Linked DNA regions of Ovis aries. The protein of the gene in region 1 binds, or shares a complex with, the protein of each later gene. Links are inferred from orthologs where the notes say so. Each region holds a gene or a part of one and is shown on either strand. Other genes may lie near its edges. The genes, in order: SAMHD1, DCAF1 and CCNA2.

Region 1 (10,594 bases):
ACATGGCTGTTTGAAAATTTATGTTTATAAGACTTGTGGGAAAACCTGCCCTGACAGCAAGGTTTCTTGGACAGTAGAAGGTGATATAAGCAGGGTTTTAAGTTTAATCAGTTGGGTTTGTTCAAAGCAGTTGCTTTTGAGAAATTAATTTTCTATTTGTTTTTGCTTGTTAAAGAGTTGTTTTTGCTTGTTAAAGAGTATGATTTATGCCATAGCTATTATGTTTCCCCTAATCTACTTCATAGGGCCCCTAAATCTTACACAAAGTTGGTTGGTTTCTTGTGGAAGGTCACATGGCTGGTAAGTGACAGACTCAAGATTCAGAACTGACTCCAAAACTTGGATGGTTTCTAGTTTGCTGCTTTACTTCCACTTGGTCCTGGTGATTCTGTTTCATCCAGTCATTCCACAACCTGGAAACAAATGCCTACTAGACACAGGCCCTCTGCTCTGGTCATATTGAGAGAAATGAATATTCACGAGCTCCTCTGATGTCAATCTCACCATAGTTAGAACTAGAAAAAAACAACTCAAAGTTCAATTAATTTAAGGCCCCTTGTTTAATGACCTTGAATACCCTCAGCAAGTCCTCCCTGCTCTTCCAAGCTAGCTTCCACCCACCCAGCTGAATTGGGCAATTTTATTCCTGGCACCATTAACTTTGTGGTTTTACATCTCTCCACAACTTCCTCTTCAACCAGCACTGCTAGTTCTCAGTGCCATCTAGCACCACTCCCTGGTTCTCTCATTGAACCTAACCTCCTCAAGGACCTTGTCTGTTCCATCTGCCAAATTCCCAAAGCAAGCCAAAATTCTTTTTTTTTTTTTAAATATATAGATTTCTTTGTCTGATAAAAATAATGTTCAAGAAAGAAAACTTGGAAAACAAAATGTGTATATACACACATACAGATCCAAAGATACAGATCCTGCTACATACAGATCCTGGTGCATGCCCCATAAGTCTTTTTCTTTTTTCTTTTTTCATAAGTCTTTTTTGGTTCATTGATGCAGAAACTTATCTGCATGTTTGTCAGGGAATTCTTTGTTAAAAAAAAAAAAAGAGTGAACTGGCAAAATGATAATAGCTAACATATTTGATCCCATCACTTCATGGGAAACAGATGGGGAAACAGTGGAAACAGTGTCAGACTTTATTTTTGGGGGCTCCAAAATCACTGCAGATGGTGATTGCAGCCATGAAATTAAAAGACACTTACTCCTTGGAAGGAAAGTTATGACCAATCTAGATAGCATATTCAAAAGCAGAGACATTACTTTGCCAACAAAGGTCCGACTAGTCAAGGCTATGGTTTTTCCAGTGGTCATGTATGGATGTGAGAGTTGGGCTATGAAGAAGGCTGAGCGCCGAAGAATTGATGCTTTTGAACTGTGGTATTGAAGAAGATTCTTGAGAGTCCCTTGGACTGTAAGGAGATCCAACCAGTCCATCCTAAAGATCAGTCCTGGGTGTTCATTGGAAGGACTGAGGCTGAAACTCCAATACTTTGGCCACCTCATGCAAAGAGTTGACTCATTGGAAAAGACCCTGATGCTGGGAGGGATTGGGGGCAGGAGGAGAAGGGGATGACAGAGGATGAGATGGCTGGATGGCATCACCGACTTGATGCACATGAGTTTGAGAGAACTCCGGGAGCTGATGATGGACAGGGAGGCCTGGCATGCTGCAATTCATGGGGTCGCAAAGAGTCAGACACAACAGAGAGACTGAACTGAACTGAACTGAACATATTTGAGTACCTACTATGAATCAGATAGTCTATTTGTGCTTTACTTTATATACATAATTTCCAATCCTTATAACAATGTCATTAGATAGGTATTATACTAGCTGGTCCTCTTTGGTTATAAATACATTCATTCATTCATTCCATCAATATTAATATATACTGGGTACGTACTAATTTGTTTGGCACCTGGGACACAACAATGAACCAAAGAAACAAAAACCCCTGCCCCAGTGAAACATATTCTAGCTGGGGGAGACTGGCAATGAATAATAGTCTAATTAACAAGAATAAAGTTAGAAGATGGTACTTTGGAACAAAGTTTTTAAAGAGGAGTAGAGGAGGAGGATAGAGTCACAGTTTTGAGTAGCGGGGAAACTTTTGAGAACATGAAATTTCTTCCTCAACCATGCAGGTATCTGGAGGAAAAGCATTCCAGACAAAGAGAACACCAAGTGCAAAGGCTTTTGAAGCAGGAGCATGCTGGGTGTTAAGAAATAGCAAAGAGACCAGTGTGGATGGGCAAAGTGAGCAAAGGGGAAGTACTAAGAGATTAAGTCAAGGAGGGTGCAAATCATGTGGAAACATGAGGGCTACCAGCTGCAAGTTGCTTTAAGGTCCCATCTTTATGGCTTCATATCTAGAAATAAAAGAAAGCCTCTGCTCCTCCAGTTTAAATGTAAGGGAATGACTTCAACAAGTCTGGATTGCTTTCATTCCTGGACCAGTTGTGTTATGAAATGATTGACCTAATCAGGATATATGTTACCCCTTGGGTTAGAGGGCAAGGTCTAGTATCAGGAAGAAGAGACTTATTTCTGGACAAAGATTCCTGGTGTTATTTAAGAAATTTGGAAATGAAGCCCAGGGAGGTGAAATGACTTGCCAAAGGCCACACCCTTGTGTTAAGTGCTTTGGGATTTGAACCTAGATCAGCCAGGTGATGCTAGTGGTAAAAAACCTGCCTGCCAGTGCAGCAGACGTGAGACAAAGATTTGATCCCTGGGTTGGGAAGATCCCCTGGAGAAGGGCGTGGCAACCCACTCCAGTACTCTTGCCTGGAGAATCCCGTGGACCGAGGAGCCTGGCAGGCTACAGTTCATAGGTTCGCAGAGTCAGACATGACTGAAGCAACTTAGCACACACGCACAGCCTTGAAAACCACTGTTCTGTTCCGTAACTTGAGCTGGGTATAAGTTCTATTGCTTTTAGGCAGTCACAGGGAGTGGCCAACTCTTCCTATAGAGTTTCACTTATGGTGACTTCCTAGGAGTGCCTCAGTGTATGGGGTGGAGTGACCATGTATTTGGGAGTTAGGATGCTCAAACATTTGAGGGAGTGGCCAGACTTCAGTGGGTTGCTCCTGAGTAAACATAGTTCATGAATCCTTTTAAACTTACTGCTTACAGCCAGTCTCCACTTGTATTTCAACTTATATTCAACTTTGTACTCAGTCGTCTCCTCAGTGGTCTTGTGTCTTTAGGGGTAAATCCTCTCAGTTCCAAACCTCCCAGTACAGTCAAGGTTCTGAGCCTTTATTTGGGGGTCCTCTGCGGCTGGCTTTCTCTGGAAAGGGAATGGTTCATCTTGGTCAGTACTCGGTTGTGGGGAATTAGGTTTCTAAAGGCACTGCCATTGTTCAGAACTCCAGATCAATTAATGTTTAAAACTTATGGGCCTTCCTCTTGTAAATTTCTTTTGCGTTGGACTAAAATCACGTGCAATGATTTGAAACTCTGTTGGTCTACTTTTGGCTTGTTCAGAATTTCAAAATTAGTTTATTTGTGTGCTCAACTGGAGAAAAACTATAGTACAAAACAAACAGAATGTGAAGCGTATTTCAATTCATATTTTGAGGCCTCCAATCATAATTAATGTATCTGCTACTATTGCTTCCCCCTGAGAAACTAACTCACAATTATGTCAAAAGATTTCCAAGCTAGAAAAATCCTCTGAGGCTTCTGAGAACTCTCTTTTTCCAAATCTTTTTTTTCTGTCCCTCTGAGTATCTGTCATAAAGCTCTCCTCATTGCTATCCATCTCTTTCTGAACTTCCTTATTTTTTTGTAACACTGAACTTGATCCCCTGCAGAAGACTATCCATACTGCCCATCCGGTAATGGCAGCCCATTTTATTTTTTTTTTATTTATTTTTTTTTTATAGAGACAAGATTTATTTATACCATAAATATTTCAACAAATTCCACTTTCTACGATGAGTTCAATCTTCACAAAAGTAGGATGAACAGCACCTGTTTCCACTAGGATCCATAGAGCGTGAAAATCTTAATGATGACCACCAGAAAGGTCAGCACGGTTGATATCACAGATTTTTCAGTGTTCCAATACAAGTTCTACCCAAATCCATAAAGAAAGACATACGCATAGGAAACTACAAATTGAAAGCAAGTCTATTGAGATAAATATTGGACTTCAATTGTATGAATCTTTAAGGCATAACTGCAGACATTCTTCAGACATTCTTCAAATTCATAGAATGACAACAAAGTATGGCTACGTACAATCCATTCGGTTTTATAAACCACTCATGAATAACCTCACAAGCCATTTGAAACCAGATGACAATTTCAAATAGCTTTGATCTACAAACAAGGCTGTAAGACAGAAAGTTAAAATCGAAATACATGAAGTAAATCCTCAATAGATATGAAAACATCCCATGGTAGTGAAGTCAATTAGCATTAGTTATTAGGGCTTTCATGCACAGACTCATCTCTGATCGATGTGATCCCAATTCATATTTGGCAAAAAATACGAAAGCTGATCTTAACAGTCATATTATTTTTCTTTGTACCCCTGAAAAGAAAAATGAACATGAAAAACTAAATTAAGCTTGGAGGCTCACATTTCCCAATCGGTATACAAAGCAACAGCATGTCAAACTTTCTAATTCACATATGCATTTAAATGAAATTGGATGAAATACCCCTAAATAAACACATACTTCTATGCCCAATGTTTCACAAGGCAGAAAACGCTCAATGAATGAAACTGAGAGGGTAACAGCCAGGAAGGCCAGAGGTCTCCAAAGGGAGGAAATGGGGTGCAAGTGTCAGACAGTTGTTATCTGTCACTTCCGAGGCAGGAGGAAACAAGCTGTTATCTTTTTTCCCCTTCTTGATACAAATTTAAAAAGAGATTTTTCTCTTACAATTCTGTGTTGCTATGATGACACCTGGTTCCGCCTGAACTTCACTTTTCTCATACTTTGAGCTGACCAAGGCATTTTTCTCATGGAAAGGTTTGCCTTAAGCTATGTGAATGTACTATGTATTTACCCTAGACTCTATCTTCAAGTAGGTTCTGCCTAAAGGCTCAGAACTGACTTGACAAACCAATATGCTTTACTCATACATGGCTCTCCTGATCTATGTGAATGAAGCTATCCATTTGCTCATATCAATCGTTTTATGGCCCAGGATGACTCACCTGGTGCCACGGTCATCTCCATATATCTTGTGGGTGAGGGGTCTGCTGCCATTCCTTTCTCTAATGAGTAGACTGCTAGTAGCTAGATAACATCCAGCCAAAGATGAGTAGGGGGGCACTCTTTCTGCCCCCTTCTGATGTCTATGTCAGAAGCTTTCTCTCTTTTATACTTTAATAAAACGTTGGGACACAAAAGCTCTGACTGATCAAGCCTCATCACTGGCCCCGGGTTGAATTCTTCCTCTAAGGAGCCCAAGAATTCAAGCATCTTTCATGGTTAGACAACAACCTTTCCAAACAATGGTCTTTTCAAAAAAAAAAAATGATGATAAGTGATGAGTATGCATATGTCTACGAATGAAATGGGACCTATATGTCAAACCACATAAAAATATATCTTCCCTCAACATACATATAACAAAACCAGGCCTTCACATGCATCGATTCTCCAACTATCAAGTCATACAAATATGGATGTAAAATATCACAATACATTCCAAAGTTTAAAAGTGATGGATATTGACTTTCGCCCGCTGGTGCTTCTTTTTATGTCATCTCCATTATATTAGCTATGACAACGAATCATGTGCTGTGCGAAGTCACTTACATTGTGTCCAACTCCTTGGGATCATATGGACTAGGCCCCACCAGGCTCCTCTCTCCATGAGATTCTCTAGGCAAAGATACTGGAGGGGGTTGCCATGCTCTCCCTCAGGAGATCTTCCTGCCCCAGGGATGGAATCCATACCTCCCATGTCTCCTGCATGGGTATGTTCTGCATGTTCTTTACCACTAGAACCACCTGGGAAGCCCCAAGACACATGAACATCAGTGGATTTGGGGATCCACGGGGCATATACAGAACCATTCCTCCAACAAAACTGAAGAATGACTTTAAAATCTCAAACAAAACATGAGTATATGTGTTCACAAACTTCATGGAGCAAGGGTTTCTTCGATCTGAAAACTGGCATCGATGAAGGACTGTGTGAAGAATACTTCAAAGTCTATTTGGCAAACACAGCCTACGTTGGCTATATTTAGTCCTCAGTTGAATGGAATGTCATGAGTACTGGTCATTTCAAATAAGTAGCCTATGACGCTGTTTACACTTATTGGGACGCGTGGTATACCACATTCACACATTTCAGTAGCATTGGTGCAAAAACGATACATTTCTCAGGGGAAGCTTCTACATGGACTCCTGGGATCAGAGCTCTAACTCATACACACATACTTTCCCTTTTAAAATGATCCTGCATGATAAGCAAACAAAACACTGGATGAACACCTAGACGGTGAGCTCTGTACTAAATGATTTTAAAGCCAGTAGATGGAATGAGCTGATGAGGAAGACTACAAACGAGTCATCTTCTTCAACTTGGTCAAACTGCTCATAGTCATACAAGTGAATGAAAAGTTGAGCCTGTTGTCATTAAATCCAGATGAAGTTCAAGGGAAGCTGCAATGCTCACTGCCCGTGAAGGAGTCCACGTGGAATGAAGAAGTAGTGTGGGAAGTCTATTAGTAACCACCATGTCTTGGGTCCTCTGGATGACCTACGATGCAGGGAACACGGGTTCAATTCCTGTGTAGGAGATTCCACACGCCCAGGGGCAACGAAGCCCTTGAACAGCTCTTGAAGTTTGCATGCTCCAGAGCCCAAGTTCTGTGGCCCACAGCCCTGCGCTCTGCTCGCTGGATGCCAATCGACGGGGACCCAGGAGCCCACGAAACGAGCATTCCCAGCTGCAATGGCGAGCCCTGAGAGCCCTGGCCCCCGACGCGCCGCCATGTTCATCCCGCCCTGGCAGCCCATTTTAAAGCCAGGTCCAATGAGGATGGCACCACACCATTACATATATCCTCTGGACTAAGGCATGTAAATCTACCCTTCAAGCACTATTAATTGGACATGCTCTTTAGCATGCCATTTAGCATGTCCAGTTAATAGTGACATGACAAAGCTAACCAACAATGTTGCCTGGGCAAAACATAATTTTTTTTTTTTTTTACATCTCAGTTAGAAATCTCCCTAATACAAAGAAACAAACTGAGGATAAAGTAGTTGGATGGGTGGATCAGCCTATGGTGTTATTTACAGTAAGTTATACCTTATGAATCTTTGTGAAAGTGGAAATGTAGTTCTAGAGGCAGTTCATATTTCACCCGTTCCTTTTCATCATTCCCCACATCTCTCATGTTTATCTCAAAGGCTTGTAACCTCTCTGGGAACTCTTATCTAGACCACCTCCCTCCAATTCCTAAAATTGAAAAAAAACAAAAAAAGGAGGGGGAAGGGAGAGAAGAAGACTTTTAAATATACAGCTGCTGGAGTTCCCTGGTGGCGCAGTGGATAAGAATCAGCCTGCCAATGCAGGACACGGATTTGATAACTGACCTGGGAAGATTCCACGTGTCTCAGAGCAAGTAAGCCTGTGTGCCACAACTACTGAGCCCACGTGCTACACCTAGTGAAGCCCGCATGCCTTAGAACCCATACCCTGCAACAAAAGAAAGCACTGCAATGACAAGCCCATGCACCACAATGAAGAGTAGCTTCTGCTCGCTGCAGCTAGAGAAAACCTGAAAGCAGCAAGAAGGCAGGCCCAGGAACCAAAAATAAAGTGAATAAATAAATTGTTAAAGATAAATAAATAAAAATACAAGCTGCCATAGAAGTACCTTTGCCCAGAAATCCAGTTTAAGAAAAGTTTTAAAACAAAAACTATAAGGTCTCTGTTTGCATCTGTCTGTATGTTCATGTGTGTGTGTTAGTCCCTCAGTCGTGTCTGACTCTTTCCGACCCTGTGGACTGTAGCCCACCAGGCTCCTCTGTCCATGGACTGCCCAGGCAAAGATACTGGAGTGCCTTGCCATTTCCTTTACCAGGGGATCTTCCCGACCCAGGGATTGAACCTGGGTCTCCTGCATTGTAGGCAGATGCTTTACTATATGAGCTATTAGGGAAGACCATGTTTATATGTGTCTATATATAAATATATTGTGAATGAAGTGAAGTGAAGTCGCTTAGTCGTGTCCAACTCTTTGCGACCCCATGGACAGTAGCCAACCAGGCTCCTCTGTCCATGGGATTTTCCAGGCAATAATACTGGAGTGGGTTGCCATTTCCTTCTCCAGGGAATCTTCCCAACCCAGGGATCAAACCTGGGTCTCCTGCATTATAGGCAGACGCTTTACTGTCTGAGCTACCAGGGAAGTCCTACCTTTGGATAGTGCTGCTAAAATGAATCTGTAAAAGAGTTCTATTTCATTGGCTTAACACAAACAAGCACTATATAAATTAAGTCTATTTGCAAAAATGTAATAGAACCTAACCCAAATGTTTTTCAAGTTCACATGATCTAGGGTGAATCTTTAGGAAATAAAAGCTAGTTTAAGTTTGTTGGTTTAATACAGACATTCCTTTAGCATTGCCAACATTAAGTATAACACTTTTTAAGGAGTTTTAAAAAAATAAGTTTATATATTTATTATTTATTTCTGGCTGTGCTAGGTCTTTGTTGCTGTGCACAGTTTTTCTTTAGTTGTGGTGAACACGGGCCCTAGGGCATGTGAGCTTCAGTAGCTGTAGCTCATGGGCTCTGGAGCACTCTGGCTCAGCAGATGTGGTACATAGGCTTAGTTGCCCCTTGAGATGTGGAATCGTCTCAGGCTAGGGATTGAACCCATGTCTCCTGCATTGGCAGGTGGATTTGTAACCCCTGATCACCAGGAAAATCTCAAGTATAATGTTTTATTCTACTTAGGTTTACTAAAAGTCAAATAAGCTCATGTTATCTCTGTTACAAAATTTGTCAGTCATGACTGATGTTATCTAATGTTTGGTGAAGTATTTTAATAGGAGATCTAAACATGTTTGTTAAGAACAAATGAATTAAATGTAAATAAGTTGAGTTTTTAGGCAAACTTTTTAGCAATGATATAGCTGCTTAAAATCCATGGGGTCACAAAGAGTTGGCTACAACTTACGCACTGAACAATAACTTAAAATAGTTTCCCAGGGGGGCTTCCCTGGTGGTCCAGTGGCTAAGACTCTGTGCTCCCAAAGCAGGGGGCCTGGGTTCAATCCCTGGTTAGGGAACCATATCCCACATGCCACAGCTAAAGATCCTGCATACCAGAAAGTAAAGATCCCATGTGCCGCAACTAAGACCCCAGGTAACCAAATAAATATTTTAAATAAATAAAATGGTTTCTCAAATCTCACTGGTAACTTACACCCTTAGAGTTTTACTAAATTAATAAGTTAAATTTTAAGTTAAATTCATTGAATATCTAAGTTATTTCCAAATAATTTCCAAATTAGATATTGAATTAATTACTGAACATAGACTTCTTTTTACAGAGAAACTAAAGTATTTGATGCCAGTCTGAGAAATTTTCTATGAGAAAGCACTTTTCTAGAAATGATAAAAATTATGTATAAGGTTGCCAATATACAGAATGCCAATGTAAAACATAGTTCATAATTGCTATTTAGTTCTTATTCATTTTCAAATTAAAGTTTTCTAAGGATTTTTAAGTGGGGAAGTTAAAAATCTTAAGGATTTTTAAGTTGGTGTTGGAGAAGACTCTTGAGAGTCCCTTGGACTGCAAGGAGATCCAACCAGTCCATCCTAAAGGAAATCAGTCCTGAATATTCATTGGAAGAACAGATGCTGAAGCTGAAGCTCCAATAATTTATCCACCTGATGTGAAGAACTGACTCATTGGAAAAGACCCTAATACTGGGAAAGATTGAAGGAAGGCAGGAGGAGAAGGAGATGATAGAGGATGAGATGGTTGGATGGCATCACCGACTCAAAGGATATGAGTTTGAGCAAGGTCTGGGAGTTGGTGATGGACAGGGAGGCCTAGCATGCTGAGGTCCATGGGGTCACAGAGTCAGACACAAATAAACAATTGAACTGAAGGATTTTTAAAAAATGCTAATATATGTGATTAAAGCTAAATAAAAAGACAAATAAGTAAAAACATCTCCATATATGAGGAAAGTAGGATGTCTATTTTCCGTAAAAGAAAGTTTATGAAGAAGGAATCTTTAGGAAGGACTTTCATGCCTGGTTAAGACTAGAAATGATTGAAATGAATTTAATTAAATGAGTTTTAATATCAAAAGTAAACTGGTACAAAATTGGAATTTGTTTTTCTGTGTTTAAAGGACAAAGTATTTTTTTTTTCCTAATGGTCTGTTCTTCAAATAAGAGATTATGAAAGGTTTTCTTTTTAACTTTAAGTAAGCAATATGTTTGGCTTTCTCCCTCTGTTAAAAGGACAGTTTTTTGTTTTTGATTTTTTTTCCTATCTGTCTGCTCTTGATAATAAGAAATAAGGAAGATTTTTCTTTACCTTTAAGTAATATGCCTAGGGAA
Region 2 (10,494 bases), on another chromosome or scaffold:
GACTGGACTTACTCTTTCCATGGCATCCTGGTTGTAGGACAGGTAATACAAGCACATGGATACGCCAGTTGCAGCCATAGAAGGACGAGGAATTTCCAGCAATTTCTGTACTCCACCGTGCGCAACAAATTCCGTGGCAAACTTATTGTGGAGCAGGAGAGACGCTAGGTGCTACACAAAGAGGATACATATTACCATGGAACAATCTAGTACAAATATCTCTTCACAGAATATTAAGTTGCTAAATACAACGACTCCTTAGAAGCAGACAACCACCCCCTCAAAACATAAGTAAAACCAATACTGCTTCAGGGAAACAAAATAAGCAAACAAAAACTGTAGAATTCCGTAACATTCCCTTCTAATACCAAAGGTTTTCATGACGGTGAAAAGCAAGAAATGAAGAATACTACTGTACATTATGACACACTCCTATAATTGTTTTACTATTACATATCTTCCCTAATGGATTTTTGTCACCCTTTCCATTTTAATCCTTTTAAACATAATCAGCTCTATGTTTTAGCTTTGGCCCAGTCACTGATTCACCCAAAACTCTGCTTTCTTTTAAACTGATGCTTGCTTATATCCTCAAAACCAATCTTCAAAAAACTAGTACATTTCTGGTACTAATCAGAATGCACTTTAAATAGAATTTATAATAATACATTTCATTAAGTCTATATTAGGCAAGTTTTTGTTGTCTTTTAAGTTTTGTTACCTTGCTATCCGATTCTTACTAGCCTCTCTGGGTGGACCTGAACTTCTGGGCAATTTAAAGGCAGGCAGTGCAATGCAAGCAGCAGGCTGCTCAATGACTTTGAATCCAGGCCAACATGGATGCAGCCTCATGAGAACTAGAGCTCCCCCTCCTGTTTCTCATACCAAAGTGTCTTCTGGGTCATGAGACAGGCAGCAGGTACAGACAAAATGATACAGATTTGTAACTGATACTTGTACAAATTTCACCAAGGTCAACAGGTGTGTACCCTCTTCAGACATTCTCTCAATACACAGACTCGGACTAATCCTTATATATAATTCAAATCCCTTCCCTGTTTACTTTTCTTGTCTGATACACAAACCTCTACCACCAAGCCTTTCCCTAAGAAACAGCTAAACCATGTGTGGTTCCCTCCCCAATACTCAGGCCACTGCACGTGCTTTTTTCTCAAAACCAGCACCATAAAGAGGCAGTTCCACTGCCAGAATCAGCAGCAGGGAAAACAGAGAACAAACGGGCTCAATCTTTACCAAGAACCTTAATTCTAGTTAGCCCATACGTGGCTCACCTCACTCTTGTGGGCAAAGACTCTATTTTCACTCCTTATACTGTACCTCCGTATAAGGTCTAGTTCTTAATTTACTATTTTAACCCATTTTGTTTCTACTAACTTCAACACTTACCCCTTCTCCTGCATAGCTGAGTCTTCCTTTTGAACAAAACCGTACGTATAACTTTCTACACTTTTTATTTCCCCATAAGAAAGATCTCTTATCTGGTTTTACCCTGTTCATCCTTATTCCATTTTCTCTAACCCCTTACATGATTCTGCATAGAAACAGGTGAATAATGACACCCATTATAGGTTCTCATACAAAGACCTATAGAAATAGCAACTACCCAAAGCCCTTCTTCCACTATTTCCTTTTCAAGACAGGACGCTGCATCTGAAAGCAACACCTTGGGCCACTGGAGACAACTCTGACCCTTCAGCTTCATCCCACTGTTCAAAGTAAAATCATGAGTTTGCACGCTTTATACACACATACACACACACACTGCATTCCACACACAGGGATACATGTTACTTCAATTTATGTCTGACCTCCTCCAAACTTAAAATTTCTGGGGTCTGCAAGTCAAATTTCATCATTTGTATTTAATTCCAATACACTTTGGAACTGTGCTGGCCAACACAGTAGTCATTGGCTACATGTGGCTAATTTCGTTAAAATTAAGTTAAAAACTCAGGGGCTCAGTGGCACTAGCTACACTTTACATGCTAATTTGTGGCAAGTAGCAGCTGTACTGAAAAGCACAAAGAACATTTCCGTCATCATGGAAAGTTTTATTGGACAGTGTAGCTCTGGAATATCTATCAGGAATGAAATTATATCTTTAAAGAATAAGAACATCATCTCTTTTTCAGAGGTTTTGATTAGAAGCTACTATTTCTCAAAGAGAACAGACCATTCCTTCCTTTGTGCCCCAATACTTCTGTCACAACATCTATAATATTCAAAAAAAATCACAGGCTTACATGCCTGGCTCTCTCAACCACATGATAAACAGCAGAGACATAACTTATCTGTCTAATACTATAAACATCACAGAACAATACTGTGTCCATTAGTTACCTGTTAGGTAGAACTGTAATAGCCACAATGTTATTCATTCAACTTAACCTCTCTCCCTTCAGATTACCTTAATTATCATGAAGAGGTATGGATTTAGTGGGCTAGACATACCTGCCTGCCTATATTTAGCCCTTTTGCAACCTAGAAATTTCTTTACTTTCACTGAATTTGGGTATATCTTTATTTCTTTATTCATTTTCTGATTTATACTCTAGATAACCTAACATCATACAATATGTATACAGTTAGTAACTTGGTAAGCCTCAACTCTTCTATTTACACAAGAAATTTTCATTTGTTGCTACTCACACATCTGGTAATAGAAACATTCTAAACAATAAAATCCAGAGATGTTATATACCAAAACACATAGACAATCCACATTAATTAAATGCTCAGGAACTAATATTTTAAAGAACTTTACCTTGAGTGCCTCAAATGTAAGCAGGACATCATTAGTTTGTTTTAAGTCAATGTAGAACATCATCAACTCCCGTGACCCAAGCTGCATGAATATGGGGAGTAACTGAAATGAACACCAAAAACATGTCTTAACATTTGGATTTATTTTCACATATTTCCTGACAGAAGACTAAAGAAACCCTTCCTCCCTCCTTTATAAAGATAAGCATATAAGCACATTTTGTTCAAAAAGACCTTATCAGGAGTGACTTCCATAAGACTTTACCAGTTTGACGCAGACTTTTCTGTATTAGAATGAAAACACATCAATGTATAATATGCCATCACAAAATACCCCAGAAATAAACACAGTAGTCTTAAAGAGTGAACACTACTTTTCCCAGTAAGCTTACCTCCTGATATTCTCCTAAAGGGGTCAAATACTGGAGAATAAGTCGCTGCTCAATAGCAGGAGTCATAGGATAAAGGGTATAATTGGTGCCAATCACCCAGGGGGACATTTCTGACCAGCTGCTGTTGGACAATTCAACAAACATGCGGTCTGGATCGGATGATGAAAAACCCAACTTTTGCTTGGCTTTCCTGAAGCTCTCTCTGTCAGCCTGTTTTGTTGACTTGTTTTTCCTCAATGCCCCTTCTTCAAGTTTGGTTGCTGAGTTCACTCTGCTACTGGTCTTGTGGCCTGACTCAAGATGAAAGGAGATCTCCATGTCTCCAGAAGCTTCCTCTTGTTCACCATCCACTACATCCACAGCCATGTCGCCATAGTCCATATCCACAGCTTCTTCATCCAGAGGCAAAAGGGGTTCAGAGGAGAGCTTTCGTGGGCTAGGACGCTTGCTTTCTTGCCTTGAATTTACCTCCTGAAGCTGTAGCTCCCTCAATCTTCGAAGCACTATTGCCACCTATCAACAGATATTGGAATAAAACAGATTTATCTCTTCTGTATCTTAAGAGTCAAGTAATTCTTACTTCCATTTAAGGATACTCAGGCAGTTATCTCAATGACTGGTAAGAGTACAGATCTGACAAGTATGTTGACTTGATTTCCTACAGCTTGATGAAATAAATAATGGCTAAAAGTCTCATTCCCCATAAAATTTCCAAGAATCTAAACCAGAAGATTTGCAGATAAAACCTAATTCACAGCACATCTGTCCAGATCATGCTGGACCGGACCATCACATTTGAAGGGGCAGACACTAGGTATATTCACAATTTTTTACAAGTGTCTTTGAAAAGCAAACATGAAGGTTTTATAAACTTTTATCTGTATTCTGTTAAATACTGTCATCCACATTACACATAATTATATAAGCTATTTTTCAAGTTCACCACTTATGTTTTCCTTTAGGTATTCATTTTTTGGTCTGATCCAAAACTTTAGTATTATGCTTAGTTTAAAAAAAAAAAAAAAAGTGATCAGGCCTGCAACTTACTTCAAACTGCATTTAAAAAAAACAAACAATGATGACTAGACGAGAAGAGGGGTGAATGGATGGATGAGTATGTCATAAATAAAAATACAGTAAATGTTCACAATCAATGTAAGTGGTCTATATACAGGTGTTTGCTGTAAAATTGTATTTTGCTATATGTTTGAAATTTTTCATAATCCAAATGTGGGAAAGGAAGAGGAAATGGTACTGTTTATCTGGTACAAACTATCATGATCTTTGACAAAATGAAAAACTGCTATCTTCAAGTTAAAAAAAAAGGTACAGTCAAAACTCTTACATAAGGTAAGAATTGAAATATTGATATTATAGCTATACTTTAGTACAATGAATAAGAATAAGATCTACTGACTCAACTTCAGGTAGCAAGAAAGAATGAGTGAATATACTATCTTACATGAAAAAGTCACTCTGACACAGCCCTTACCAGCTGTGAGTTCTCATCCCTGTAGTTGGCAGCGATGTCTTGATTCTCCATAGCACCTCCTAACAGACCAGTAGAGTATGTCCTCAGCGGCTGATCAGCTTCTCGGGCCCATTTGAAAAGGTTCTCAACAATTCCTTCCTTTAGTAAAGGGAATGAAAGAGTACAAATCAGGTGGGTCAAGATTTCATAATTCAAGATATAAGCAATGACTTCAGTTGATAAAAAAAAGTTTTTAATAAAATATTTCAATATTGTTCATAAGATTACAATATCTAAGCAAACTAAATGTACTACAGTAGGTGGTTTAAAATAACTGTGCATCTGTGAAACAGTCCTATTTATCCACGAAAACGCAAGCTAAAGATCAACTATCACATAATGCAGCTATTAAGTCCCAAAAGGTTCCATAACCAAGCAGGGGGTGCTAAAAGTTCTACACGCCTCTTTAAAGTTCACGATGCACAATTAACAGTAGCAATGTCTAAGGAGTCCTCCATCAAACAAGTGTTTAACTCCACATATCCCACTCTTAGTGTTTATTATGAAATAAAATACATAAACATGTATAGTCCAAAGAAAATGAAAATCACCTCTGTGATTTACCCATGAGTTTAAGAAACAGAAACTTCCCATGTGCCCCTCCCTACCACCTACCTCCTTCCTCTCCAAAGGGTATCTACCTTCCTAAATTTTAATAATTTTCTTGCAGAGCTTTTGTTAAATGTTATAGGCTTTGAACTGTATACATTGTGTGTGTCATACGTACTTTTCTGCAACTTGTTTTACTCAACTTCAAGTTTTTACATTCATCTATACTGTTATGTGTAATTGTCACAAACAGTACCCAACATAAGACAGGCTTTACATACAATTTACTTTATCCTTGTATCAGCTTTGTATGATGGACAAAGTACTATATCTACGGAAGAGAACACTGTCACAATGAGGTTAAGTAACTTACCAAAAGTCACAAAACTAGTAAGTAGCAGAGCTGGGGTCTTATTCCAGGCAGCGTACCTCCAAATGCTCTGCACCACCATGTTCTGCTGCTATTTTGTTCGCTTAACTTTTACCTTTGTGTGCAAATACGTCCCTAGAGTAGACACCTAGGAACAGAACTACTAAGTCACAGGTGTGTATGTTCAACTTTACTAGAGGCAGCCAAACTATTTTTCAAAGTAATCACAACAATTCACATTTCCAACATTGAATAGTCCATTTTTAAATACATCTTTACTAAAAGTTGACCACCATCAGACTTTTTATTTTTTTGTAATACAGTGGGTATGAAAATTTAATGATTCATTTAACTTGAATTTTCTCATTTACCAATGAGGTTTAGCATTTTTTCATGCCTTGTGATCATTCATACTTCCATCTTCTGTGAAATACTCACGTCTTTTACCAGTGTTTCATGATAAGCACAAACTCTTAATTTTATGTAATCATATATAATAATATTTCCTTTTAAACTTTGTGCACTTTATCTCTTAAATTCTTCCCTAAGGTCATGCTGTCATTCTCCTATATATTTCCAAACTTTAAACTTTCTTCAAAAAAGTTATTAACACTGAACAATACACTTTGAGAAATTTTGTTTTAAAATACTTACTGATGTGAAAACAAACATATCATCTACTTTAAGTGTCTTTCATTCTTCTTTCTGAACAGCATAAAAAACTTTAAATACTAATTCTAACCTATTCCCTACCATCTACATGTTACCCAGAATATGTTCCCTCTTCTGTTCCCCAAAAATTGTAGCCAATATTTCTTGGTTTACAAAGTTCTCTGAAGGCATTTTCTACTGTGGCCTCTACTGATGCTGTGGCAAAACTTGCTATTAATTTGCAGGAATCTTTTTTACTCTAGTTGCTTTTAAAATCTTTTGTCTTTGGTATTCTTCTTTGGGCTTTCTGAATCTGAGTGGTCATGTCTTTCATTTATTAAGATCCTAGCCTCATCTCTCTGAATACGGGCTTTCTATTCCTATTCCGTGCGTGCGTGCGTGCGTGAGAGAGAGAGAGAAAGAGAATCTGAGTGGTCACGTCTTTCATTTGTTTGTAAGATCCTAGCCTCGTCTCTGAATGCGGCCTTTCTATTCTCTTGTGTATATGTGTATGTGACCTTTGCACCCTCACCGCACAGCATGTGGGATCATAGTTTCCCAACCAGAGATAAACCCATACTCCCTGCAGCCGGGGCGGGGACTGTTACCCACTGGACCACCAGGGACGTTCCTTCCATTCTTTTTCTGAAACTCCTGTTAGACACGTTCAAAATTTTCTAATTCTAGTCTCCATATCTCAACTTTAATTCTATCAGTAGTTATGTGGAGACTTTGGTCTACGTCTATTAAATTTAAAAATTCAAAAACTGTAATTTTTATTCCCAGTAGTTCCTTGGTTCATTTTCCAGTCTTAGAATTCTGATTTTCTTTTTTACATTCAATAATTTTTAACTATTTTAACCATTTTAAGTGTGCAATTCAGTGGGATTAAGTACATTCACAATGCTGTATAACCATTATCACTATATTTCTAGAATTTCACTGTCCCAAACAGAAACTCTTTATCCCAGTTTTCAATAATAGATAGAACTGAACAGAAAACCAACAAGGAAACAGAGGAGCTGAACAACACTGAAAATCAATTCAATCTAAAAATATATAGAGAATACTCTATCCAACAAGAGCAGAATACACATTTTTCTCAAGTACAGGTGGAACATCTCCCAGAATAGACCATATGTTAGGCCACAAAACACATCTTAATAATTGTAAAAGGGCTGACCTCTTACAGCCCTTACAAATTCTTGAAAGAATTTTTTTCAATCACAATGGAATGAAATGCAAAATCAATAACCCAAGAGAAAACTGGAAAATCCATCTGCAGAAATTAACAGTCATAATCAACCAATGGGTCAAATTAGAAATCACAGTGAAATTAGTACCTTGAGAAGAATGGAAACAAAAACACAACACATCAAAACTGATGGGATGCTGCCAAAGCAGTGCAAAGAGCAAAATTTATAGCTACAAGTACATAAAAAGAAAAAAAAAGGTCACAAATTAATAACCTACTTATATACTTCAAGAATGATGGCTCAGACGGTAAAGCGTCTGCCTGCAATGCGGGAGACCCGGGTTCGATTCCTGGGTCGGGAAGATCCCCTGGAGCAGGAAATGGCAACCCACTCCAGTGCTCTTGCCTGGAAAATCCCATGGATGGGAGGAGCCTGATAGGCTACAGTCCATGGGGTCGCAAAGAGTTGGACACAATTGAGCGACTTCACTTTTACTTTCACACTTCAAGAAACAAGAAAGAGCAAAGAAAACCCAAACATAACAGATATATAAAAATAATAATAAAGTTTAAAGTGGAGATAGATAAAATATCAAATAGAGAAATACAGAAAATTAATGAAACCAAAAGTTGTTTTTTGAAAGGATCAAAAAGAAATTGACACGGGGCTTCCCTGGTGGTACAGTATTAAGAATTCACCTTGCAAAACAAGGGACACAGGTTCAATCCCTGGTGTGAGATCCCACATGCAGAAAAGTAATGAAGCCCGTGCACCACGACTACGGAAGCACGTGAGCCCTAGAGCCCATGCTGTGCAAGAGAAGCCACCACAAGGCGAAGCCTGGGTACTGCAGTAAAGAGTAGCCCCAACTGGCCGCCGCTAGAGAAAGCCCAAGAGCAGCAACAAAGACCCAGCACAGCCAAAAATAAATAAGTAAATAATTTTTTTTTTAATTGACAAAGCTTGAGGTAGACTGACCTCAAGAAAAAAGAAGACAAATTACTAGAATCAAAAATAAAAGGGAAGACAGTATTACCAATTTTACAGAAACAGAAAGGACTATAAGGGAACTCACTGGCAGACCAGTGGTTAGGACTGTGCTTTCATGTTTGAGGGTACAGGTTAGGTCCCAGCTCAGGGAACTGAGGTTCTGCAAGCCATGTGATACACAGTCGAAAATATAGGGGAGGGAGGATTTCAGGAGAACACTATAAACAAAAAACTCAGTAACAGGTTAAATGGACAAACTTCTAGTAACACAACCTACAAAAACTGACTAATGAAGAAACAGAAAAACTGAACAAACCTGTAACCATTAAGGAGGGTTAATCTGTCATTAAACCCACCCCAAATAGGAAAACCCAGGACCAGATGGTTTACCTGGTAAATTCTACCAAACATTTAAGGAATTAACACCAAGCCTTTTGAAACTCTTCCAAAAAATGGATGGAAAGGGAAAACTTCCCAACTAATTCTATGAAACCAGCATTACCCTTGGAGAAGGCAATGGCACCCCACTCCAGTACTCTTGCCTGGAAAATCCCATGGACGGAGGAGCCTGGTGGGCTGCAGTCCATGGGGTCGCTAAGAGTCGGACACAACTAGCGACTTCACTTTCACTTTTCCCTTTCATGCATTGGAGAAGGGAATGGCAACCCACTCCAGTGTTCTTGCCTAGAGAATCCCAGGGATTGGGGAGCCCAGTGGGCTGCCATCTATGGGGTCACACGGAGTTGGACACAACTAAAGCGACTTAGCAGCAGCAGGAGCATTACCCTTGACACCAAATACCCTGATACAAAGACAGTGCAAGAAAACTAGATATCCTTTATGACTACTGGTGCAAAAGTTCTCAAAAAATACTTGCAAACTGAATTAAACAGCATCGTAAGAGATTACTGTATATACCACAACCAAGTGAATCTACCCAAATGTGCAAATACGGTTCAAAATGCAAAAATCAATCTATGTAACAGACCACATCAATTGAATTAGTGTGAATTAATTTTTGTGAATTAGTAGAAAATCACATGAGAGTGTCAACTGCTAAGAAAAAATCATTTGACAGAAGTAAAAGCCCTCTCATTAAAGAACACTTCATAGGGCTTCCCTGGTGGTCCAGTGCTTTAAGAACCCACCTTGCAATGCAGGAGACACTGGTTCAATCCCTGGTCCAGGAAGATGCCACATGCCGCAGAGCCCATGTGCCACAACTATCGGGCGCTAGAGCTTGTGAGCTGCAGCTGAGCCCACGTGCCTAAAGCCCGCCCCCCACAATAACAGAAGTAACTGCAATGAGAAGCCTACACACTGCAACGAAGCAGAGGCAAGGAGTCCCCTGCTCACCTCAACCAGAGAAAGCACAGGCAAAGGAACACAGATCCCGCAAAGCCAAAAAAACCCAAACAAAAACCACACTTCACGAACTAGAAACAGAAGGAAATTTCCTCAGCATGATTAGGGACAGCTATGAAAAACAACAACAGCAAAACCAGAGCTAACATGGCATGCAACAGTAAATTAAAGACTGACAGACTTTCTCCAAAGACAAGAACAAGACAAGGATGCCTGCTTTCACCACTTCTATTCAACATAGCTGTTATTCAGTTGCTAAGTTGTGTCCAACCTGCAACTGCCAAGAAAAAGAAATTAAAGGCATTTATTTTGGAAAGAAAGAAATAAAACTAGTTCTGTTCACAAATGACATGATCTTATACATAAGAAAACTCTACAGATTCAACACCACCCCCCAAAAAAACCTTATTAGAACAAATGAATTCTGCAAAGTTGCAGAATACAAAATAAATACACAAAAATCAGTTACACTTCTACACCCTAGTAATGAAAAATCATAAAAATAAACACATCTAATCATTATTTAACTGGTGACTCTTACTCATGGAGGATTATTTGCCGGGATACTTTTGTAGTTTTTTTGAAAACTTACTTCTCCTGAAAATTGTTTTTTCTGTGAGAATCCCTTCTGGATTGTGAGAGCTTCCCCCCAAGAGGAGTTTTATA
Region 3 (10,594 bases), on another chromosome or scaffold:
GACTATCATCGTTAAAACATGAACCACTGTGGTCATGAAGCACACTGGTGAAAGCTTCTTCCTGAAGTCCCAGATATAGGGTTGAGGCCAATGAAACTATAAGGATTGAGAAGGAGGGGAGAGAGAGAGAGAGAGAGGACAAAGGCGTTCCCTAAAGAAAAGGGTCCTGTGATTATAGATGTTACTCTTAGGTTTGATATTTAAGGATGAAGCATGGAGTCATGCTGTTAATCTATGTGTTACATAAGAACTAATATGAAAGTAAGCAGTTCTAAATGTATTTTATATATATAAGGTATTAGCTATGAGAAATTTTATTAGTGAAAATGAATAAAAAAGTTTTAAATGAAGGACTTAAATTGTCATATCCTTAGGAGGCAGATGTCTAACATCTTTTACTCAGTTTTGCAAGTATGTTTAGAACTTGAATTACTACAACAGTAGTAGGTTACATGTTTAAATATGCTGTACATTAATAGTGGGATGTGTATATAAAGAAATTTGAAATTAAATGAAGTCTAAACACAAGGTTCTAGTCACAAAATATGTGTTTACGGGACATATTTATTTGATGTACTTCCTTCTAAAACTGTTTCTTTAAAAATATTAATTTTATAGAAAAGGCGAAGGAGTCTTTAAATCTGACAACATTTCTACTATATCCATCCTAAAAGATGTGCTCTCTAAAGAAGCTACAAAAAGGAAAATTAACCTCAACATATCTTATGGTAAAAGAAAAGCATAAAAAGAATCATTCTTTCTGTTTTGAGGGGGTTGTTGTTACAATAAGAATGTTCCTGATCAAAGTGACTTATCTAATTGTGCCTGCCTCAACTTCTTCTAGAGATAAATGAAGTATCAGTCAAACACACATTAAAGTTAATCCACCCAAAGCTGGAGTACCAGTTGCTTTTGGCTAAGAAAGTACAGTTAATTGATGCTTTAAAAGTAAGTATGTCTACCATGGATTCATGATTATTATTTTTATTGTGATCAGATTTCCAAAGTGGTAAAGAGAAAGTCCACTTGATACTGGATTGGATTTTGAAATTAAGGTGCTTTTATTTTTTATTTTAAATAAGGAATTGCAGGTTCATGAGGGAAACACAAACTTTCTGATACCAGAATATCGCTCTATTCTAGAAGAGGCAGATCACCTACAGGAAGAATACAAAAAGCAACCTGCACATCTTGAAAGACTCTATGGTTAGTGGACTATTCTACCATACCTTGTCATATTCTTTTCTATTGGCTGTTTGCAAAGGATCACATGAGGGAAGGTAGGCGGAAGGAGATAGGCAAAGGTTACAGCAGTCATGACTGAAATAGTAACAGCCAGTGTATTGCACAGTGTATTTTGTCGAGTTGGTTTTAATGTTTAATATTTTTACTTGATAATATGCAAGTAAACAGTAACAAATGAAGTAAATATAATGCGATTAATTTATATATGAAGAAACCTTATGAAACATTATAATTTAGGCTGTATTACATACAAATAATTTTCAGTTTTCATTGCTATTTTGAAGTATCAAAATACAGCATTTAATGTCTTTATGCAAAATTGAAGAAGGGTTATATATGTGTTGTGTCAATTTATAGTCTAAAATTCATTTTGCTTTGGTGGCAAGAAGTTGAGTGTTTCACAATATATTGTAAAAGCAAGAGCAAGAGGGAGATGTGAGGAGGCAGAGAGAGAGGAAGAAAGAACAGCTTAAGGAAATTTTTTTTTCAATCTTTACAGAAGACCTGTATGCATAGTATACCTATTTATTTATGCATCTTTATAATCAGGTGGGATATTTAATCCTTACAACAGTGCTACACAATAGATGGTGCTGTCTCTGTTTTTCATATTTTTTAAAACTGAAATCTGAACTTAAGAATTTGCCACATAAGTAGCTAGTGGCAAAGCCTTCATTAGGACCTCCTTGCCCCAAGATGGATGCTTTTTGCACTGTGCCAAGTCTTATATGGAGTCAGTTGGTATCATCTGTCCATAGTGATCCTTAAGATCTTCCTAATAATTTATTTTATGCCCAAAGACTTGCTCACGAGCTATAACAATAATATCTGATATCTTAATATTTACCATGTGGCAAGCATATCGTTATCTTCATAATAACCTAAAAGATGGGTGGTACAGAATTGCCATCTCTTATCACCAGTTTTGCAGTCCAGAAAGCTTTGAAATCAAAAGCTTTTTTTTTTTTTGATAAATCATTTGGCAATAAATTTAACTTGATCTGAATTAATAACAGTACCTCACATAAACTGCTATGAGGTTTTTTTTAAATTCCACTTAGTGTGAATATTCATACATTTTGTTGTAGAAATGTTTTGTTGTCAGATGCTGCCACTTACTTTCCATGAGTATTATGCCATACATATGGTATATTCCTTTTATTATCTTACTAAAATATGAAAAACTATGAAACATGACTTAGAGGCTTTAGATAAAGGATATGACAGCTTGAATTATTTCTACTGTACATATGTTAGGATCTTTGAATCTAGAAGTATCTGCCTTCAAGTCAAATCCTAAGAATGTTACTTCAAATAAAGCTGTAAGGAACAAAATCTGTCTACACTATGTCAAAATGGTCAAGCTGATGGGGAAAGAAAAGAAAACCACTTGTAATTTTATATATACCGATAGGAATTCAAAACTGGCCAGCAGTTGATTGTCTGAACTAATAGCTTGTAACCAGTTGTTAAGAGAGTTATTAGCCAAATGATTTTTATTTTGAAATTTGCCATAAAATCCCCCCCAAATACATATTTTTTAATGTACCAATCCTTTCAGGTGTATATGTTAAACAATAGAAATTACAGATGCTAAGAAATTCTCAAGCAATCACTTTCATTAAATAATGTGTGGTTAATCAAATTAATCAATGACAGAAAATTATCCTTTTTTCTTTGTAGGCATGATCACCGATCTTTTCATAGATAAGTTCAAGTTTAAAGGCACCAATGTAAAAACCAAAGTGCCTCTTTTACTGGAAATTCTGGACAGTTATGACCAAAATGCACTGATTGCTTTCTTTGATGCTGCATGAAATATAAACAAGGTAAAGTTCCAAAGAAGTTGTCTGTTTAAATGAAAATTGTTAAAATAGAATTACAAGCTAACTGTACATACTTCTATTTCAAGTGCTTTTTAATACTGTCTAAAATAAATGAAGTATGACTTGTTTTTTGTGGCACTTTTATTTTATTTTTTTACAAATGTAATTTTTTTAAAGTAAAGATAATTTTTATTTTTTTTTAAATGAAATGATTATAACAGATTTTAATGAATTTTTTTCTCAAGAGGCTGTTTTAACTTTCAAATCAAAAAATATTATTTGGAAAATAGACACATTTAAATTTTTAACAAGCCAACACATATGTATAAACTGCTTTACAGTTTTCAAAATGTATGTACATATGTGACCTCAAGTGATCTTCACAGTATGTTGATTATTTTGTCAAATCATGTAAGACAACTGATTCTCAGTGAGATTGTGTTTAAGAGGACATGCTGTTATTTCATAAATGTGGGACCCAAGTTCTGGTGCCTCAATTATGTTTTGGTTACTATGTGTGTTGTCAACTAGGTGAAATAACCGATAATGTTTTTTTTTCTAGGAATTGAGATTGACTTACAACTGATTTTGCTGTTGCTTGGTAATGTTTTGTGACTCATACTCAGTTTGTTAAATACTTGGGTTGGCTCATTGCTTTAAACTGTGGCCAGGGAAATCAGACCTTGCACAGATTGGGGGGATTTTAACTTGATGTGCTGTAACCAGTAGGGCCATACAAATGTACTACATATGAATAGTACAGAAATAGTGATGGCTTCTTAGATTTTCCTGCACTAATAAATACTAATTTTCCTTTTTTATCATATATGGAGGGAAATATAACTGTCAATCTTAATTCATATTTATTCATATTCAGGTGAATATTATACTTAAGATTGTGCTTTTTAAAGTGGCATAAGGATTATAATAGAAAATAAACTATTCTCTGTGTTTTCAAGAAGGGCACACTTATTAATTTGTTGGGAAACAACAATGCTCAATTATATACCATTATATTTATTAGTTATGTGCAAGCCTTGTTATATATTAAATGTGAAAATTTGCTAAAGGCACGTATTTCTATCAGTTTTATTTTAATAAGGTCATATTTTTTTTTTTTACTATATTTAAACAACCTTCATTTCTAAATGGAACACAATTATATCTAGGTCACTGGAATTTCACTCCGTGCTTTTTGTTGGCTGCCATACAGCCAAGGTTAATGGCTGACTAGTTGAATTTCTTGTATATTAGTTTGTTACGTATATCAACAGTAATTCAAGGTGGCAGTTTAATTGCATCTTCATGAAGAAAAATAAAAAGTATAAGACTGTGAATAAGCACGAAAATGGTAAGATGACACTATAGTCATCCACTTGAGTATCAATTACATAAGCAGCGTATGAAATGATTTATGCACGTTATTTAATACTAATGATAACTTATAACGTGTAGATATAATCACCCCAGTTAACAGATAGGAAAACTGAGAATCAGAACATTGAGTAACTTGAACAAGACCACCAGGCCAGTATGGCCGGATCCGATTTTAGACCTTGAGAAACTTCAGTCAAGCTAACTGGAGGTCCTGTGGCTAAAGGCCGGGTGGTGATGGTGTGGTCTTTAAGTGATGTTTGACTCTGTGACCCCATGGACTAACCCGTCAGACTCTATGTACGGCCCACTAATAATCGCTAAAGTGTAACTCACTTTGTACTAGCGGCCGCCCCTAGCCTAAGACAGGAACTGCTTAGCGGCGGTATTTAAAGCCACCATAAGCCTAGGCCCCGCCTCCCCGCCCGGCGCAGGCGTCCTTCCTTCTGCCGCCGTTCTCTGTTTCTTCGTCCCGCTCCGCCCCTGCTCGGGTGCCTTCGCAGCCGCCTTCATTCGCCTGCGACCGCGTCGCCCCGAGTGACGTCACAGGGACCGGCACCTTTCATTGGTCCATTTCAATAGTCGCGGGATACTTGAACTGCGGGAACAGCCGCAGCTCCGGCGGGCTGCTCGCTTCATTTCGGGGGCGTCCTTGTCCCTCCACGCCCGGCAGTTCTTGCCTCCGCCTTTCTCAGTCTCCTCGGTCCTGCACGGTTCCGAGCAGACGGGCAGGCTGGCTCGGGCTGCGGCGGGCGGGTACGGCTGGAGTGTTCCTCGGCTGGTGTGCGGGACTCAGTGCACGCTGCTTGGCGCCGGGCTGATCCCGCCGCGCCCCCGGGAGCAGAGATGTTGGGCAGCTCCGCGCACGGGCCTGCGGCCCGCGAGGCGGGTTCGGCGCTAACATTGCAGCAGTCGGCGTTCCAGGAGGACCAGGAGAACGTCAACCCCGAGAAGTCGGCGCCCGCCCAGCAGCCCCGGACCCGGGCTGGGCTGGCGGTACTGAGGGCCGGGAACTCGCGGGGTCCAGCGCCCCAGAGGCCTAAGACGCGACGGGTAAAGCAATGAACGATATCCTCAGGAGGGAGGGCCGAGCGGGGGTTTTGCACGGGTTTAGCCGGCAGAGGAGAGTGGCGAGAAAGCATTCCCTGGGCTTTTCGCGGGAGGCTAGGATCTGGAGTTCCTTGATCCCTGGGTTTCTAGAGTGTAGGACGCCACATTACTCCCATTAGTTACTCTTCCATACTGTTCCTGACAGCGCTGTGCTTTCATGCTGCCTCTCAGCTTTCCATTGGGAGTATTTTTCCATAGATAATGGGATCAAACCAGGCCCCACAACGTTGAGTATGGTCTTTGCCCGCCTCCACGCCTTTCTGCTCTAAAACCCAGGCACTATTCCGACCTTCGTCTTCCCCATATGGATGGGTAAAGAAACTACCTTTACTTTGGGCGAAGGTATGAAAAGTGCTTTGCTATTGGTCAATTCCGCCATCTTACTGAATTTGCTCTGTTGCTCCACCCTAGGGTGAAAAAGGAAAACCACTTGTTTTTTGCCATCTCTGTTAAATTTGGCATCTTTCGGCCTGCCACTCCAGCCATCTCTGGCCTAGTTTTGCATAATTCCATTTGGTGTGACCGAAATCTTTGGTGTCACAGGAATGCCTATGACAAATTGAAGCATCTCTTCTTTCTCCAGCTACTCAAATTTCCTTGCCTGAACTTTGCCCCCAAAAGTTTTAATTTTCCTGATAAGAGGGTTTGGGACTATACTCAGCAGTATAAGGGGATGAAAGTAAAATTCCACTTAATAGGCTCAAAGCATTTAATTATTTCATTGTAGGTTGCACCTCTTAAGGATCTTCCTGTAAATGATGAGCATGTCACTGTTCCTCCCTGGAAAGCAAACAGTAAACAGCCTGCATTTACCATTCATGTGGATGAAGCAGAAAAAGAGATTCAAAAGAGGCCAACTGAATCTAAAAAATCAGAAAGTGAAGATGTCTTGGGTTTTCATTCAGCTGTTACTTTACCAGGACCAAGAAAGCCACTGGCACCTCTTGATTACCCAATGGATGGTAGTTTTGGTAAGTTTTAAAGAAAACTTGAATAAAAGTAATTGTTAAATAGGTCGGATTAATATTTTCCTTCTAAGACATTTTACTTGAGCCTTACTACATTATGAGTTAGGCATAACAAGTTTAGAAAGGGTGTGACTTATCTCAGGCCTCACAGCTAATCTGTGACCTGGTGACCTCCAAAAAGATTCTAATCCCGTGCTCCTTCTGGTACACTGCTGCTGCTGCTAAGTCGCTTCAGTCATGTCCGACTGTGCGACCCCATAGGCGGCAGCCCACCATGCTCCTCTGTCCCTGGGATTCTCCAGGCAAGAACACTGGAGTTGGGTTGGTACACTGCTAATCACATCAATTTCATTAGATCCCAAAGACTTAATTGACCCTCAAAATATTTGCTTAGTTGGGAGAATATATTTCAGTTAAGACTAACTTTGTTCACACCATTTCAGAGAACGCCATCTGAGGATGTAGCTTTAAATATTGAGATAGCCGACATCCCGTCCAGCTCTAAAATTTGTTTCTGTAAAACCCGTCTGAGTGATTGTCTGATATCAGAAAGACAGTTGTCTTCCTGTGAGTCAGAGTAACTGCTATGGACAGCTCTGTCTACAGTTTGTGCTACTTTACCATCAGACTGTGGGTTCACTGGACAGCTCACTGAATTCAATATCAGTTTTAGTTGTATAAACGAGGGGTATAGCAGAGAAGTGCTTTGGAAATAACAGTAATTTGTGTATTATTTAAAATTCACAGCAAATTTTAACCTCAAAGTAAACTTTGAGCTGAAATAATAATGGATGACATTCATTGCCTCCAAAGATGAATTTTACCAATCACCCATTGATTGTACCGTTAATATGTTTCAACTGCCCATGACAAATCTGATTTCCTCTTTAGCACACTTGTTAGTCCTGCTTCTAATTGTTGCCTGGATTATGCTTTGCAAATGTTAGACTTTGGGGTCTGCAAACTCTTATGACAAATCCTAGATATTATCTCAGAGTTTGGATTTTAACCTTGTTCTAACAGAACCACTGTCTTCCTATCATGCAAGATGAATGATGGTTTAACTTAATAACCTGCTCCTCAAATTCATTTTCCCATTAATGGTCTAACGATATTTTAATTAAGATCATTCCAAAACTAAGTAGACAGAGGTACTAAGATGAGAGTTAAATCTCTTATGTATTTTGTCATAAAAAGCTCTTTTAGTTGGATGAAATAAGCTCATTGGTAGTATGGGACTCCTTACAAGGACCATCATTTTTAGCTCTTAAGTGAACTTAACTGTATTTTTGAATTGTCCCAGAGTCTCCACATACTATGGAAATGTCAGTTGTACTGGAAGATGAAAAGCCAGTGAGTGTTAATGAAGTACCAGACTACCATGAGGACATTCACACATACCTTAGGGAAATGGAGGTAACTGCTGCCTGAATCTACTCTTTATACTGCTGTTTATTTACTGTGGGGAAATGAAATTAAGATGATGTTTTTACATTTTTTAACTGCCAGTTGATTACTCTAATACTATATTTAAGTTTCTAGCATGTAGCTGGTATCTGTTAATGATAGAATATCTAACTGTAATTTTAACACTCAACAGGTTAAATGTAAGCCTAAAGTGGGTTACATGAAGAAACAGCCAGACATTACCAACAGTATGAGGGCTATCCTCGTGGACTGGTTAGTTGAAGTAGGAGAAGAATATAAACTGCAGAACGAGACCCTGCATTTGGCTGTGAACTACATTGATAGGTTTCTTTCATCCATGTCTGTGTTGAGAGGAAAACTTCAACTTGTGGGCACTGCTGCTATGCTTTTAGCCTCGTAAGTCCAACTTGGTTCATTGGGTTAAAAGTGATTAGTATTTTTCTGTGTAGGGAAGAAATTGTGATTTAAAATACATATATTTGGCAAGTGTGATGTTTTAACATATAACACAAAGCAGGACTCACAACTACGTGAGGGGTGGTAGTGTAGATGAAACTATCAATTTAGGACATTAATTTGCCTAGATCAGTCTTTCAGGGCACTTGAACCTACAGACTGGCAAGATTTTAATACACTAGGACCAAGTTACAAAGTATGGTTCCTTCCACAGAAAAGTACCTTCTGTTAAATAAGCAAAATCTTACCTTTTCCCCATTAAGATATGAAAACTAAAATATAAAGCATTTCTTTTTCTAAGGAAATTTCCCACATTTTCAGTTACTTGCTGACCTTGCTCCCATCTTGGGAAGTCAGTCTCTCATTTCCTTGGACTTCAGTGGAAGACATATATGGGGGCTTTTAATTAGCATTTAACCAATTTCAGCTAAAAATGGTCAAGTATCAGTGGAAACAGGGAACTGGTTTCAGATTCATTCCATTGATTCTGCTTAAGGGATTTCAAGTTGGGATAAACAAGCTTGCTTTTCTAAGGACTAATTACTTCTTTGCATTGTAGAAAGTTTGAAGAAATATACCCACCAGAAGTAGCAGAGTTTGTATACATTACAGATGATACATATACCAAGAAACAAGTTCTGAGGATGGAGCACCTAGTCTTGAAAGTCTTAGCTTTTGACTTAGCTGCACCAACAATAAATCAGTTTCTTACCCAGTACTTTCTGCATCAGCAGCCTGCAAACTGCAAAGTTGAAAGTTTAGCAATGGTAAGTTCCTTTCATTCTGTTGAATGAAGATTCTAAGGTCACAACTGGGGCAAGCTCTAGTTTCATTATACAGTCTTGGTCAGGAATATACTATTCTGGGACAGATGAGTGCTGCAGCACATGAGAGCAAGCCCATCACTCGCAAAGGATAATGTAAATTGGGAAAGCATTGGGGATATGAGAATGGAACGTAAGTGGTAGCCAGAAGGGTTGTTCTAAAGGCTAGGGGAAAAATACAGGATGAGAATGAAGCAAAACAATGCAGTAGTGGATATATTTAAAGATGTGACTGAAAATTTTTATATGGTTGCTATACAGCCAGTCTTAAAAGACAAGAAAAAATTAGGTCAGAAAAGGCGGATTTGAGGTTTGAATTCCAGAGCTCTTATGATCATAGTTATTTACTTTTTCATTCCAGTTTTTGGGAGAGTTAAGTTTGATAGATGCTGACCCATATCTAAAGTATTTGCCATCAGTTATCGCTGCAGCGGCCTTTCATTTAGCACTCTACACAGTCACAGGACAAAGCTGGGTATGTATTACATCTTCACACGTCTACTTTTTGATTCTAAATGCCTGTGCCAGATAACTGTCGTAGACAATTGATGGTTGTCTAAATGTACTGAACTGGAAGAGTTGTCCAACCATCTACTCTGTTTAAAGCGTCCTGTCTTAGAAAGCTTAGTTACTTTTGCACATTTGAAAGATGTGCTTAAAGAATCTGGGCAACAAGGCCTGCCACTGGCAGGGAAAATTGTAAAAACTGAAGTCAGCAAAAAGGCGCTTAAGAAAAGTGGAAAATGTTCAGTTCAGTCACTCAGTCGTGTCCGACTCCTTGTGACCGTGTGGCCTGCAGCATGCCAGGCTTCCCTGTCCACCATTGGAGGTGTTAAGTACTAAAGTTTAACAAAACTCAAGCTTAATGCCAACTACTAAGTTGTGTTTAGTGTCTGTTACAAAAACAAAGTCCAGTGGTTTTCTCCTCCCTCCTGCAGCCTGAATCATTAGTACAGAAGACTGGATATACTCTGGAAACTCTAAAGCCTTGTCTCCTGGACCTTCACCAGACCTACCTCAGAGCACCACAGCACGCACAACAGTCAATAAGAGAGAAGTACAAAAATTCAAAGTAAGAAGTAACAGCAGTAGATACTACACAAGTTTGCTTTTCCAGGCTATCCTACGGCTCAGAGTTCCTTAATATTTTAACTTCTATTATTTAAGCAACCACTCTCTTAGCAGCCATGTGTTTTGAGCTTTCTGTCCTATATTTGAGGGAGAAGAGGGGAGAGGAACAGGGCATGCATGCATGCATGTTTGGGGGACCAGACTGGTTTTGTAAATATTAAATCAAGTAGGCAGAAATTTGTGAGTTCCTGGTATGTGTATAATTCCATGATCTGCTTCACCCAATGAATGT

Evidence for each region.
Region 2: the proteins of SAMHD1 (region 1) and DCAF1 are in contact, whole or in part, in a crystal structure (PDB 4CC9), measured with the Homo sapiens proteins. The link is inferred for Ovis aries from reciprocal best matches to the Homo sapiens genes SAMHD1 and DCAF1. Residues at the interface, in NP_056289.2 of Homo sapiens: Ser616, Arg617, Val618, Gln619, Lys622; in NP_001336097.1 of Homo sapiens: Asn1090, Glu1091, Asp1092, Thr1114, Gln1116, Asn1132.
Region 3: the proteins of SAMHD1 (region 1) and CCNA2 are in contact, whole or in part, in a cryo-EM structure (PDB 9HIW), measured with the Homo sapiens proteins. The link is inferred for Ovis aries from reciprocal best matches to the Homo sapiens genes SAMHD1 and CCNA2. Residues at the interface, in NP_056289.2 of Homo sapiens: Lys615, Ser616, Arg617, Val618, Gln619, Leu620, Phe621, Lys622; in NP_001228.2 of Homo sapiens: Met210, Ile213, Leu214, Trp217, Glu220, Val221, Glu224, Arg250, Leu253, Gln254, Tyr280, Ile281, Thr282, Asp283, Asp284, Thr285.

The regions. Positions count from the first base shown.
Region 1 is NC_056066.1:65,969,452-65,980,045, forward strand, and holds the start of SAMHD1 (deoxynucleoside triphosphate triphosphohydrolase SAMHD1), read right to left. Parts: upstream 7,003-10,594; 5' UTR 1-7,002.
Region 2 is NC_056072.1:49,383,272-49,393,765, reverse strand, and holds part of DCAF1 (DDB1- and CUL4-associated factor 1), read right to left. Parts: intron 4,807-10,494; coding exon 4,669-4,806; intron 3,690-4,668; coding exon 3,177-3,689; intron 2,888-3,176; coding exon 2,786-2,887; intron 172-2,785; coding exon 13-171; intron 1-12. UniProt on the Homo sapiens protein: Acts both as a substrate recognition component of E3 ubiquitin-protein ligase complexes and as an atypical serine/threonine-protein kinase, playing key roles in various processes such as cell cycle, telomerase regulation and histone modification.
Region 3 is NC_056059.1:3,747,626-3,758,219, forward strand, and holds the start of CCNA2 (cyclin-A2), read left to right. Parts: upstream 1-5,065; 5' UTR 5,066-5,291; coding exon 5,292-5,498; intron 5,499-6,282; coding exon 6,283-6,526; intron 6,527-7,826; coding exon 7,827-7,939; intron 7,940-8,123; coding exon 8,124-8,347; intron 8,348-8,966; coding exon 8,967-9,174; intron 9,175-9,592; coding exon 9,593-9,706; intron 9,707-10,169; coding exon 10,170-10,303; intron 10,304-10,594. Other genes in the region: BBS7 (Bardet-Biedl syndrome 7 protein), read left to right, coding at 619-728, 845-948, 1,083-1,206, 2,929-3,062. UniProt on the Homo sapiens protein: Cyclin which controls both the G1/S and the G2/M transition phases of the cell cycle. Functions through the formation of specific serine/threonine protein kinase holoenzyme complexes with the cyclin-dependent protein kinases CDK1 or CDK2.